Linked DNA regions of Tamandua tetradactyla. The protein of the gene in region 1 interacts with the protein of each later gene in a pairwise test. Links are inferred from orthologs where the notes say so. Each region holds a gene or a part of one and is shown on either strand. Other genes may lie near its edges.

The links.
Region 2: the proteins of TRIB3 (region 1) and ATF5 interact in a two-hybrid assay, tested with the Homo sapiens proteins (2 studies listed by BioGRID and IntAct). The link is inferred for Tamandua tetradactyla from reciprocal best matches to the Homo sapiens genes TRIB3 and ATF5.

The regions. Positions count from the first base shown.
Region 1 is NC_135327.1:22,256,284-22,263,529, reverse strand, and holds the start of TRIB3 (tribbles homolog 3), read right to left. Parts: upstream 3,040-7,246; 5' UTR 2,853-3,039; intron 1-2,852. UniProt on the Homo sapiens protein: Inactive protein kinase which acts as a regulator of the integrated stress response (ISR), a process for adaptation to various stress. Inhibits the transcriptional activity of DDIT3/CHOP and is involved in DDIT3/CHOP-dependent cell death during ER stress.
Region 2 is NC_135342.1:11,236,798-11,244,132, forward strand, and holds the start of ATF5 (cyclic AMP-dependent transcription factor ATF-5), read right to left. Parts: upstream 3,097-7,335; 5' UTR 2,836-3,096; exon of another isoform or gene 2,808-2,835; intron 2,579-2,807; exon of another isoform or gene 2,435-2,578; intron 1,643-2,434; 5' UTR 1,524-1,642; coding exon 1,346-1,523; intron 153-1,345; coding exon 1-152.

The sequences.
Region 1 (7,246 bases):
CTCTGGATAATGTGGACCAATCTTCAAAATATATTAAGTGAAAAAGGCAAAACAGAACTATGTGCAGACAATGCTCTTATGTTAAAAAAAGATTATATATTGTTCCATTTATGTAAGAAAAACCCCAACGGTATAACATATATCCTCAGTAAGACAAAACAATAAATTGGATCATCTTGCTTGTATCATTCAGCAGCTTGCTTTGTTCACTTGATTTGTGCATTCCAGTGCACACATTCACGTGTGCGTCTAGTACATCCTTCATTCATTCCTCATCCTTCCTTCCTTCCTCCTCTTCTCCATAGATAATAGATGCTCGCACTACAAAACTTAACAGATGCAGGGCAATCTCTCTCCCTCCCTCTCACCTATCACCAAGCCCATCTCTCCACTATTTTTTTTTTTCCACTAAACAGTTCATCCTGGAGGACTTTCCAATATATTTGTGTTTGTGTAAATTCATTTAAAAATGTCTGGAAAGATCCAGCCTAAACTAGCCAGAGTGGCTCCTGGAGAGGAAAGGATTTGGAAGCAAGGCAAAGGAATTCTCCATTTCAAAATTTAAAATAAAGATGCTGCCTTCAGTTATTGCTTAGGTATTTCAAAACAGGGAGTGTATTTCTTTTTTCCAATGTGATTTTTTTTTTTTACAGCTTTGTCCTGATGGTCCAAGGGCTAGCAGAATCTCAGAGTCCACATGCAGAGTTAGTCTACCAGACAGACAACTGAGTGTTCCAGTTTACCATTACCGGAGAAATGGGGCAAGGCAGAGAGTGTCTCTCTAAGGCCCCATTCAACTGTGGAGGAAACTGCCATGGATCCAGCTGTGTAATTGTACATGTCGCTGGAGGAGGGCAATGCGAGGGCATGTCAGGAAAGGTTCCTTCCAGACCCATCTGCCCACCTATTCAGACCCCAGATGAGGAAAAGGAGGCCCAGGTATGAGGGTCTAGAAGGACACAGTTTTCAGTCCTGTTAAAGACCTTCCCAACAGCCAGGGCAGGATTAATGGGGAGACACCACTCAGAGTCAGCTGTCAGCCTGAGGCTCACCTCTCCAATCACGCTGCTCCCAAATCCACAGGCTGCCTTGGGAGGGAGGAGCCCTGCATCCAAGGAAAGGTCACAGTGTCCTCTAAAAACGAATGCAAAAGGGGGCGGCTGGAGTGAGATATTTCTGAGTTCTAATCCTGGCTTGGCCCCTTCCTGGCTGGGTAGTGCTGGGCAAGTTCCTCAGTCTTCCTGAGCCTCAGTTCCTTCATCTGCAAATGGGAATGTCATGCAAAGGCCACAGGATTTGGGGTACCTGGGATGGAAATGCAAATAAAGCTCAGCACCACCCTGCCGCGGGTAGGTGTCTGGAAATGATCAGTATTGCAGTTCTGTTATTATCGCCCTTATTTATAGCTGAAGGTGTGTCAGTGCTCCTCTGGGAAGTCTTAGAAATCTCCCCAGGGATGAGGCTGCGATGACAAGCCTTATTTCACAGGGCTGTTCTGAGAATCCCTAATATCCTAATATCCTTAATATCCTGGCAGGGAGGAAGGCGGAATCACACCCATGACACACACTCACACACACACCCGAGGCTGACAGCGGTACCTGCACCCCTCAGAAACACACTTCCTTCAAGTAGTCTGAGACACACTCAAAGCAGGGTGGGGCTCACACACAGTTACATGACACACCCCTCACCCTCCATGACACACCCCTCACCCTCCACGGCCAAGCCCACACAGCGCTCGTCTCGGAATGATCACATCGGTTACCCACACCAACACGCCCACACGCACCGACCAACAGCGGGGCCGCGCCAGCTGGGGGCCCTGACCAGCCTTCCGCAGCCCGGATTCCCCCGTGGGAGCGGAAGCTGCTGGCGGCGGGTGTCTGGGGGCAGAAAGGTCAGCGGAAACCGAGGGGTGCTCACGGGACCGGGAGGGGGTGAGGCAGAGGGGTTGGGCCCCAGCGCCTGGAGAAGGGGAGGACCTCCGCCCTCGCCCCCGCACACCCCGGAATCTGCGGACACAGCACACACGGTCTATAGGAACAAAACACCCACGCGCACAGTCCAACCTGCAAAGCCCTCAGCCACCCCGCCAGGTGGGCGCTCACCTCCGGCACCGCGCGCTTGTCCCACCCGCCTGCACCGGCACCTGGCGCCCTGCACCGGCACCTAGAGCCCTGCACCGGCACCTAGAGCCCTGCACCGCCTGCTCCGTCCCACTGCCCTGGTCCAGCCATGCCCCCCCCCCCCCCCGCACAGCCGACACCTGCCCCGAGCTGCCCAGCCCCCTCCCCAGATCCTATCATCCACAGAGACACGCTCTCACATCCCCTTCGGCACAAACACACATCCACAGCTACACGGACTCCACTCCCAGTCCCCTAACCCCCAGCCCCACAGGCCCCTCACACACAGGTCTCCCCCACAAAACAGCACAACCCCCCCACTCCACTTTCACGGAAAAGACAGACATCTCCACACACCTCTCCAGGATGTGACCCAGATCTATCTCCTTGGGGCTCTCCTCCCCTCTCCCGCAGGCACAGGTGCCACTCCCCGCAGGTGTGCACACTCGCCCCAACCGGACTCGGCCACACTCCGGCGACCCCACGCCCTGCGGGACCTGTCACCTAAGACCCGGCGGGAACACTCAACCTAGGCAGTCCCGAGGACGGCGGAGTTTGGGTTGGTTAAAAGTCGTGTATGTGTGTGTGTGTGTGTGTATGTGTGCGCGCGCGTGTGGGTGAACGCGCAGCCACCCTCGGACGCCCACAAGTCCCGTGCCCTACGCCCGCCTCCAGCCCCCAACCTGCCAGGCCCAGGTCCACTCCTCGGCCCCCGCAGGCTACCTTCCCCTCGCGACCTGGCACCGCCCGAGCTCAGGGCCGCCAGGCACTCCCAGGCGGACCGGTCGCCGCTCCGCTGCGGCCGAACTCCCGTCCCGATCGCGCTCGGACCGGGGTCCCGAGCAGCCGGACACCTGCTGAGCCGCCGCCGCTCGCGCTGCGTGTGTCCGGCGAGCGGCCGGCAAGGGACTCCGGCTCGCCCGCCGGGTGATGTAAACCTGAGCTAATCAGCGCCGCCTGACGCCCGCGGGCCGGGGATTGCACCATCCCCCGCGCCCCGCCCGCGAGGTCACCGCCCCGGCCCCGCCCCCTCCGGGCCGCCCTCTGCCCCCGGTAGCCCCAAGGTGGGGCCGGCTAAGGCCGAGCGCGGAGACCAGGCACGGCCTCTCCCTATCATCTTGGAAAAACCACTTTGCTTTTCTGAGCCTCTGTTTCTCCATCTGTGAAATGGGAAGAACACCCTTCGCTTCCAGGATGGTGCTGAGGAGAGAGAGAGCAGACAAGACAGTCCCGCCCTGGCCTCGTGAAACCTTTATGAGAACCCTGGGCAGAACTTCCCGTTGTGCCCATTCTACTGATTTGCAGTCTGAGGCCCTGCTATGGGAAAGCAATGCAGGAGCTTTGCAAAGACTCGCAGGTTTAAGGGCTGACACTGGGAGCCGATTCCGAGCTCACGAGAACCATTGGAGGCTCCAGGAGTGGCCTGCACTTCACAGCCGGGTCCTCAGCATTCATTGGATAGAGGCAGTGCTGCCTGGTGGTTAAGGACAAGCACCCTAGCATGAGCCCCACCTCGCCCCCCACACCGCGCTGCCTCAAAACCCTGCTTCAGTTTCCTCCTCCATTGAAGAGGCTGGTTCTAGTCTTCTCCTCACGGGGCTACTGTCAGGATTAAGTTAACGCAGGTAAAGTGCTTAGAACAGCGTGTGACGTGTTGTAGGTTCTCTGTAAATAAAGTGGAGACACCAGAGTCTCCGGAGAGGAGAAGAGACCCACAGCAAGACTTGAACCCAGGCCACGGAGGGTTTTGCTGGTGCCTCCCTGAGCAGCACCCTTCTTGGGAATCCCTTTTGGGTCTTGGTATCTAAATTCACCCAGTGTCAAAAAATAACTCCCCCTGGCAGAGGCTGGCTGGGAGGAGAGGGAGTCGCCTCTGTTTCTCTGGTTCCTGAACCCCAGGGATCAGCTCACTGTATCTCAGAACTTCCCAGGGCCTACCGGAGGGATCTGGGGTGTCTTTTAACCCTGCTGACTCCCCTGCCAGGGATATGTGAACAAATTCATTTTCTACACCATGACACCAAGGCTCAGATTGGAAGATGCCATGGCTGTAAGGGTTGAGGAATGGAGGACCGGGTTTGCTCATAGATTCCTAATTTTGTGGCATGCTGTGTCAGGCCCTGTTCCAAAACCAAACTGGGGATTCAACAGGGATGAGACTGACCCGTCTCTGCCTTCACAGATCGTATAATTCAGTGGGTAGACAGACCATTATCAAGAATCAAGATCATTTAAGACAGATTGTGCATCATGTATTTATTTCATTGAATAAAAGAGAAGTGTGTTCTCTATCATGACTGGTAGGCAGGCAATCTTCAATAGAGCTCATCAGGAAGGTAATTTTGAATTAAGATATTAAGGAAGAGGACTTCCGGAGAAGATGGCGGCTTAGTAAGACGCGCGGGTCTTAGTTCCTCCTCCAGAAAAGCAACTAAAGAAACAGAAACAATACAAAACAGCTCCCGGAGTCACGACAGAGACCAAAAAAGACAGCGTACCCCATTCTGGAACGGCTGAACGGGTAGGGAGAATCCACTGCTGTGAGCTACCCGAGGGGTGCACGTTTTCCCGGCTGGGGTGGCTGGCGTCTGGGGTCCCCTCCACGCACGTGGCTCCCCGGTCTGACTGGGAACATTGGATAGCGGGGCCCTCCCGTCACGCTTGGCGTCTCGGGCCAGCTGGGCAATTTGGACCGGCACTCCCCCAAGCCACGGCCAGCGACCCCCGCCTCCACGAGCGGTTTCCCGGGCCGACTGCCCCGCAGACAAACGACCGCCACGAGCGCCACCTACTGGGCAGGAAAAGAAAAACAGAGCCCAGAGATTCCACAGAAAAACCTTTCAACCAGCTGGGTCCCACACCCAGGGAGATCTGATCAAATGCCCAGACACCAGCAGAAAATAATGGATGACGCTCAGAAAATTGAAGATATGGCCCAATCAAAGGAACAAACCAATAGTTCAAATGAGATACAGGAGCTGAGACAACTAATGCTGAATATACGAACAGAAATGGAAAAACTCTTCAAAAACCAAATCAATAAATTGAGGGAGGACATGAAGAAGATATGGGCTGAACAAAAAGAAGAAATAGAAAATCTGAAAAAACAAATCACAGAACTTGTGGGAGTGAAGGACAAAGAAGAAAAAATGGAAAAAACAATGGATACCTACAATGGTAGATCTAAAGAGACAGAAGCTACAATTAGTGAACTGGAGGATGGAACAACTGAATTCCAAAAAGAAACGGAAACTATAGGGAAAAGAATGGAAAAACTTGAGCAGGGAATCAGGGAACTGAATGACAATATGAAGCGCACAAATATACGTGTTGTGGGTGTCCCAGAAGGAGAAGAGAAGGGAAAAGGAGGAGAAAAACTAATGGAAGAAATTATCACTGAAAATTTCCCAACTCTTATGAAAGACCTAAATATACAGATCCAAGAAGTGCAGCGCACCCCAAAGAGAATAGACCCAAATAGGCGTTCTCCAAGACATTTACTAGTTAGAATGTCAGAGGTCAAAGAGAAAGAGAGGATCTTGAAAGCAGCAAGAGAAAAACAATCTGTCACATACAAGGGAAACCCAATAAGACTATGTGTAGATTTCTCAGCAGAAACCATGGAAGCTAGAAGACAGTGGGATGATATATTTAAATCACTAAAAGAGAAAAACTGCCAACCAAGACTCCTATATCCAGCAAAATTGTCCTTCAAAAATGAAGGAGAAATTAAAACATTTATAGACAAAAAGTCACTGAGAGAATTTGTGACCAAGAGACCAGCTCTGCAAGAAATACTAAAGGGAGCACTAGAGTCAGATACGAAAAGACAGAAGAGAGAGGTATGGAGTAAAGTGTAGAAAGAAGGAAAATCAGATATGATATATATAATACAAAAGCCAAAATGGTAGAGGAAAATATTATCCAAACAGTAATAACACTAAAAGTTAATGGACTGAATTTCCCAATCAAAAGACATAGAATGGCAGAATGGATTACGACCCAGCAATACCACTGCTAGGTATCTACTCAAAGGACTTAAGGGCAAAGACACAGACGGACATTTGCACACCAGTGTTTATAGCAGCATTATCTACAACTTCAAAGAGATGGAAACAGCCGAAATGCCCATCAACAGACGAGTGGCTAAACAAACTGTGGCGTATACCTACGATGGAATATTGTGCAGCTTTGAGACAGACTAAACTTATGAGGCATGTGATAACATGGATGGACCTAGAGAACATTATGCTGAGTGAGTCTAGCCAAAAACTAAAGGACGGATACTGTATGGTCCCACTGATGTGAACCGACATTCGAGAATCAGCTTGGACTATATCATTGGTAACAGAGACCAGCAGGAGTTAGAAACAGGGTAAGATAATGGGTAATTGGAGCTGAAGGGATACAGACTGTGCAACAGGACTAGATACAAAAACTCAAAAATGGACAGCACAATAATACCTAAGTGTAATGTAACTAGGTTGGAACACTGAATGAAGCTGCACCTGAAATATGGTTTTTTGTTTGTTTGTTTGTGTGTTTGTATCTTTTGTTTTTGTTTTTTTCTTTTTCCTTTTTATATATATATATATTATTAGTATTATTATTTTAATTCTCTTCTCTATATTAACATTCTATATCTTTTTCTGCTGTTTTGCTAGTTCTTTTCCTAAATCAATGCAAATGTACTAAGAAATGATGATCATACATCTATGTGATGATACTAAGAATTACTGAGTGCATGTGTAGAATGGAATGATTTCTAAATGTTGTGTTAATTTCTTTTCTTTTTTTTGATTAATAAAAAAATTTAAAAAAAAAAAAAAGATATTAAGGAAGAGAAGGAATGAGGGGGAGACAGAGCAAACAGTAAGTGCAAAGGCCCTGGGGTAGGTAGGCACCTAAGGGGCCATGAGACAGGTGCTGTTGCCTCCATTGTAGAAAAGAGTGAAGGTGAAGGTGACAGGCTCACACTAGGCCATCCACTTTGTCTGAGGCAGATTTGAGATTTGAACCTGGGACAGCTGACTCCAGTGTCCGTGCTGTCCTGGGGTATTTTACAATCTTTGCAACCCAGCAGCCTCTACTTGCATTTGTGGTTATGGACACTAGAA
Region 2 (7,335 bases), on another chromosome or scaffold:
TTCTAGCTCCTTCTTGAGGAGAGTGGCCATGGCTTCCAGGTCAGGTGGGGGCGGGGAAGGTGGGGCAAGGGTGCCTGGGGGGAGGGGGGGCTCCAGAGGGAGGAGGGCTGTAAAGTCAACCCGTTCAGTCATCCAGTCTGAGAAGCCGTCACCTAGGGGATTAGAGGGGGGACATAAAAATTCGCTGAGTTCCTGGGCCTCCATTCAATTGGTGCTCACTCATCTCTGCCTCATTCAGGCCCCATTCATCAGTAAAACGGCTAACCACTCAACAAACCAATCAATGAATCCTCAAACCAGTCAGTAAACCAACAAACCTGCCAAGGAACCAATGAACCAAGCAACCAACTAATCAACCAAGCAGTGAACCAGTCACCCCTTCCAACCAACCAAGCAACCAACTAATCAACCAAGCAGTGAACCAGTCAACCCTTCCAACCAACCAAGCAACCAACTAATCAACCAAGCAGTGAACCAGTCAACCCTTCCAACCAACCAAGCAACCAACTAATCAACCAAGCAGTGAACCAGTCAACCCTTCCAACCAACCAACCAACCAACCAGTCAACCAACCAACCAAGGAACAAGTCAGCCAATTCATCAACCACCTAAGGAAACAATCAACTTATCCATCAAAGAGCCATTCAGCCATCCACCCAACTACCCAACCAGTCAACCATCCAACCAACTAGTGGACCAAGCATTTCTTCAACCATTCCAACATCTTCTTTATTGATTACATCTGTGGTTTTTCTGATTCACTCTCTCTCTAGCTTGTTCTTCAAATACAAAGTGAAATGCATCACACACGCACCTTATTTCATCTTTAGTTCATTAATTATTGAAAACCCACTATGTGCCAAGTGTTTGGGATACAGTAATGCATAAAATAACTGCTGCCTCAAGGACTCTGCATACTCTCTTTCTTCCACCTGAAATGCTCTTCCCTTGGGCTTTTCATGGTTCATTCCTTCCCATCCTTTAGGCCTCAGCCTAAATATTATCTACTTGGAGAAGCCTTCCTGGCTAAACTAGGTCCCCTTTGTCATGTTCTAGCTTAGCTGCTAAGGGCCCACTTAGCCGTCTCACCATGGGTGCCCCAAACCCCACCCCATTTAACTTGTCTCTTGTCTGTCTCCACTAGAATGTGAGCTCCAGAAAGGCAGGGATCACGCCAGTCTTTCTTCCCAGCTGTATACTCAGCACCTAAAACAGTGCCTGGCACATTGTAGGTACTCAATAAATATTTACTGAATGAATGAGTGAATGAATGAATGAGTTCTTCCTTCCCCTTTGTCCCCCACCTCCCCATCTCACCCTACCTCCACTCTTCATCTATCCTTACCTGTCAGGGGCTCTCCCCCCCCTGGAATCCCGCCCTCCAGGGCTCCCCCAAGGACCTCATAGGGGCCCAGGGGGGCAGGGGCCAGGGGGAGTTTCCCATAGTCTACGAGCCAGCCCAGCCCGCTAGCTGGGAGCAGGGCCCTGTCCAGCTCCAGACCCAGGGTCGCCAGGAGTGACATGGCTGCAGCACAGGCGCCGGGCACCAATGGCAAGGGAGGTTGCAGCACCAACTGCTGGGAGGAGGCTCAAGAGGATGCTCGGATGGGCGGAGACAGGCAGCAAGGCCAAAGTAGAGGATCTGCAGGTGGGAAGCAAAAGGGGTGGGGTCAGAGGCCAGCTCCACCCACTGGGCAAAGGCACAGGACCGCCCCTAAGCTACACCCCCATTGCCACGGAGACCCTCCTCTCAGAATTCCAAACCTGCTCTTTTTTCCCAACAATCTTAGAGCCCCACCTACTCCCAAGGGAATTGTCCTTGGGCCCAGCCTACTTTTCTCCCAAGCTCCACCCCTTCTTCTAATAGAGAATGTAGTGTCCTCCCAGCGGAATTTCCTTACACCTTTCCCATTCACCCCATGATACTCCTCTTTAATAAAAAAAAAAAAAAATCCAATCCCAGGGGAATTTCCTTCCAGCCACACCCTGTCCCTAAATTATTTCCTTTAGATCCCACCCCCTCTCGAAATCCATTCCTTCTAAAATCAGTTCCCAGGGGAATTCTCCCATGCTTTGCCTCTTCATCAGTGTTCTCCACTGAATTATCACCGTCATTACTTTAAACTGTGCGGTGACTCCCACGATGCCCCCAAAGTCCTGCTCCTCTCCATCTACTTTAGTTCCACCCCTCCCTGACAATTCTCTGTGGATCCCGCCTCATCTCACAATAGGCTTCACAAGCCCCGCCCCTCGCTACTGCTGTGGCCCTAGCCCCACCCCCTCTCCTAGAGGGTGGCCTCTAAACCCCGCCCCCACACCGTCAATCTATGCCAGGCCCAGCAGGTGCTTGGAGAGGGAAGCTGGGCAGTGCGCCCGCGCAAGGTGGAAGGGACACGTTGAAGGAGGGAGCAGAGAACGGCTCCCTACCCCATACCCCTCCGCACGCGCCTGCCTCCTCGAGAGCTAAAGCGCGTGATCGCTCCCTCAAGCCTCCGCCCTACGCGAATACTGGCTCTGGTGGGCATGAGCGGCCGCGCACGGACAGGATCGTTTCCGAAAAAAATAAAACCCACCCTTTCTGAGGGCTAGTGCGCAGGCGCCTCGGCCCACGGGCCAGACTCAGGCACAAACACCCTCGCGGGAAGGGCCCTTCCCCACCCCGGACCGAGTGCGCATGCTCGGCCGCGCGCCGCCGACCGCGGCCTCTCCCTCCTGCGCCTGCGCGACCTAGAGTCCACGCTCCCGGCTCCCCACCCCCCGGCCCCGGTGAGAAGGCCGCGCGCTGTGAAAGGGCGGGAAGGGCGGTTGGAGAGGGAGGGGCGAGCGGTTACTCACTCCATGGCGGCGGCAAGGAGAGGCGGCGGTAGCCTCGGCTGAAGAAAGAAGCGGGAGCGGAAGGCGCAGGCGCGGTGAGCGCGGAGATGACCGGGGGGCAGGGAGGATTCGCGGCTACAGGGCCATGGCCGGGACTGCGCGGGTGGTGGCGTCGCGCTGGCGTGAAGGGAGACCGTGATCCGAGGATAGGGAATGAGGCGGCCCCGGGGACCCGGGACAGATATAGCGGGGGTGGCGCAGCACGGCTCTGCCGGATCCTTCCGCGCTCCGCCCCTGCGGGCCCCGACGGGCCCTGGCAGGGAGGCGGGCCCGGCCCCCTCGTCTCTGTGACCCGGAGTTTGGGCCCTTTTCTCCTCTCACTCTGGGGCCCAGTCTTCTCCCTGACTCGGGTGCCTGGCGCCCTCCTCTCACTAACCCTGCGGTGCTGTGGTCCTCTCTTCCGTCTGACCCGGGATTCCGACCCCTTCCCTCCTCTGACTCTAGGGATTCTGACCCGGGAGCACAGACCCCTTTCTCCTCCTTCCTTTGACCCCAGGGTCTGGGGCCCGACCCCATCCCCCTCAGCTTCCCTCAGGCCTTCACGTGTCTCTCGCCTTCCCCTGCTTCACGAAAGAACTTCCGGCCAGCCGCACCGGAGTCTCTGCCCGTGCCTCCGTGAGGATCCTTGTGGGTTACTTCTGCGGGACCCCGGGGTCAGACGGTGCTCTTTTCGAATCACCTGCCTGGTGATCTTGAGCAAATAAGGTCTGTGGACCTCTTGTCGCTATCTATAAAATGAGAATTATACCCTCTATTTGGTGGGGTTGTTTGAGAATTAAAATGACAGTGTCCATGAAGCACAGCCCAGCTTGTACTCATCTGGTAACCCTGTCTTCTTATTAATAGGAACGTTGGGACTCAGTATCACGTTGTCTTCCCCTCCTGGCAGAGCCCCAGATACTTGACCAAGATTTGCTGGTAGGTTCCTCTTATGTAATTTCCAGCTATCACCACCCTCCCCCATTCCAAAGGGTGGGTGTTCAGCCCACCCCCGTGCAGGGATTTTGGCATTGTTACCCCCACTTCATCCTTTTTCCACCCTCTGTTCACCTCTGCCCACCTGCCAACATCCACAGTCCCTCAGTCCTTGTCCTCTATACTCTGACTCCACCGCGTGTGTTATTCTCTGCTTCTGCCTCTCACCCAAACTTTGTTTCAAATTGTCCTTTGCCTAAGCTGCCACTCACTGTGTGAGGAACTCAACCCTGCCAAAAAATGGGGAGATTTATGATTCCATTTAGTGAAAGAAAGCAGCCTCCTAACTATTCTTCCCCCACCCCCATACATTGGACCCTCCACCAGCCCTGGTTGGATGTAGATCTTTCCTCTGCTGCAGAAACCCTCTTTCCCACCTTGCATCCATCCACATCAGAATGTTTCACTTGGAGTTCAGCCCTCATCCCTTCTATTTGTGGGTACATGGGTTAGGAATCGAACCAGGTCTTCTGCATGGCAGGCAAACAGACATTCTACCACTGAACCACACCTGCACCCCCAACCCTCATCCCACCTGGGACAGTGAAGACACTGAATCGAGGCCCAAAAAATGTGTGGGAACTTTGATTTTGAGAGTGTCTGGGAGTTAAGAAATCCCCTCTCTTCCTTCATTGTTACATGTGGGAAGTCCTTCTTGGATCTGACCCCTTACCCTCTTGGTGTCCATCCACTGGGCCAGTACTGAGCACTTGCCCCATAGCTGGGCCCTTTGGAGCTACATTATGACCTAGACAGGGTACGGTAGTGGTTATCAGCACAGGCTCTGACACCAGGTGATCTGGGTGCACAGCTGGCTGTGCTCCACTCACTAGCTGTGTGACCTGGGCAGTTACACTTATTTCCCTGTGCCTCTGTTTACTCTGTGCCCAGTAATAGTACCCATCTCTTAGGGCTGTCATGAGGATTAAGTAAGTTAGTCCATGTCAAACATTTGGACTTGTGCCTGGCTGCTGGTTGGCACTGTTAGGGGTGGTGGTTAGGATTGTTGAAGCTCCAGTTGCAGGAGTTAAAGTTTCAAAACTAGCCCTTCACCAGTTTCTGGAGGCTTAAGGACAAACTTCCACTTCTCACTATAACTCAGTGACAGCAGGTGGTAGGGGTTAATGCTAGACAGTTGGACTCACTGCGGTCAGTGAGGAGGTGCCGCCCAGACCACCAGATTGATGAGGCTGCCACCCTTACTGGGAAACCTGCTGCTGCTGGCAGGATCTGGCTCCTAGACACTAGTTTCACTCTTCTCCTGCCATCTGGCCCCTTCCCTAGCAGAATCTGTTTCCTCCCTCTGTCCCTTTCCTACAGTAACCTCCCAGAATTGTCTTCTGAGTAGGGTCATAGATTATTTTTTAGATAAACTTTTTACTTTAGAATAATTTTAAGATTTACAGAAAAATTGCAAAGATAGAAAATGTTCTCATGTACTCTTGAACAGTCCTGGCCTTTGGGTATTTTAGGGAATGTCCCTCAGTATGAGTTTGTCTCATGGTTAAACTGACATTGTGGGGTTTTGAGCAGGTGGCCAGGGAGGGTATCTTTACTAACTGAAAAGAAACTAGCTCGGTTTGGGAATCATATTGCTGATTGTATGTGATGTACTGTCTGAAAAGTCATCTTCTTGGTCCTAGCCCCCATGCCCTTTTCACTCTGGCTGTTGGAGCCTACCTAATTCAGCCCTGGCACAGACTGGCCCACCTAGGCAGCATCACTGGGTTTTGCCAAGTGGGTGCTGGGTGCTCTGGGCTGCCCAGGCCTGCCAATAGATTCTAGTTCACAGGCAGTCATCTGCAGCTGGCACCCTGTGCCTTGTCCCATATCCATGCCTGACCCAGGTTCTGGCCTCTCCAGGACTCAAATGCCTCAGCCTCCCCCAGTCTCCCACAGCCTTTCAGGGTGCAGGTGCCCCAGCTCCTTCAACTCCTGAGATTGGAGTTGGAAGCATGGGTGGGGCTGCTGAGGACTCTTTTTCGGTGCGGAGGGGCCAGGCTGGGGAAGTGAGACGGCGATTGCAGGCGGGTTGCATCAGCCCTTGCTCTTTGATGGGGAGGGGGAAAGGGGGGATCCCCTGGGGGCCTGGCGCACCTGGCAACGGCTCCTTTTTAGCAGAGCCCTGTATCATGGAGGGCTCTGGCCCTGCACGGGTGGAGGGTGTGGAGGGAGGGAAATCAGCTGTCTGGGCAGAACTTTGAGAATCTGAGGCCCAGTGCCAAGAAGGGGCCTCAAGGGCAGAGCCCAATCCACTTGTCTTGGGGAGCCAAGACTGAGGCCACAAGAGGCAGAGGAGGTTGTGCAAAATTGCACTGCTCTTCAGAGCGCGAACTTACACAACACTTCCCTGCAGCACCAGCCCTGGGAACCCCATTCCTTGGTCCATGGTGTAGCCTCTTGGGGCCACCAAGCTTGGACTTTCACCTCAGGTTGGCTCTGCTCACAATTGCCAAAAATTCTATTGATTCTACCTCCAAAATATCTCTCATGGACCTTCCCCTCACCATCCCACTGCCCCAGAGAAGGCCTCCTCACCTGTGCTATTACAGCAACCCTCAGTGGTTTCTCAATCAAGGCCTCACCTGGCATAAGAAAAGAGGTACTACATTTGGCATCAGATGGACTCGGGGTCCTATTCTGGCAACTCATCACTTACTATCAGTCCTCAGCCTGTCAGAGCCCTCTGCGTGCTGCCTGGGGCTTAGCTTGCGCTACAGAGATGGCCTGCTGGGTACAAAGCCCCACTTGTCACACTTGCTCCATGACCTTTGGCAAATGGCAGCATCTCTCTGTGCCTTGGGTTCCTCACTGGTAACGGGAATGAGAAGACCCACCTCATAGGGTTGTTTTGAGGATTAAACAGATGAATGTTCATAAACTTCCTAGAGTAGGGCCTCGCGTGTGGGAAACACTCTGCGAGCATAGTTTTTTCTCTCTGAGGCTCAGGGTGCTAGGAGGCCCAAGTGAAGTGATGCAGGTGAAGCCCAGTCCCTAATGGAAACTGAGGGTCTATCTGGGTTAGTTTCTCTTCCCTTTCCCTCCCCTGTTCACGCCACACTTTGTTCTGCTTTCATCACTGCCTCGCAGGCAGGTGTCCGTATATGTGACTGTTTGTGGGTACTTAGAAGACAAGGATGGGATCCCCTCATTCCCAGAATTGTTGCCCATATTTAGAAGGAACTGCTTGTCCACAGAAGCTGGGACATTCTACACTGTGGCCCTGAGAAGCATCAGGACTGGTGTCTGGTCACGTAGGCCAGGAGGGCAGGGGTTGGAGGTTATGTCCTGCAAACAAGGGTAGTAAGGCCATGGCCAGTGCAGTTGGGGAAAGGGCAGTGTGGGGCCGGGTGTCCAGAGTTCAGGCTTGCCACGTGGCCCAGCAGCTCAGAGTCCTGAGCCCTCTTTCTCCCCTCACTTCTGCCACGTGCCCCTCAACAGGAGCAGTCCCAGCTCTTAGAGCACAGTTAGGTTGTGCCTTGGGGT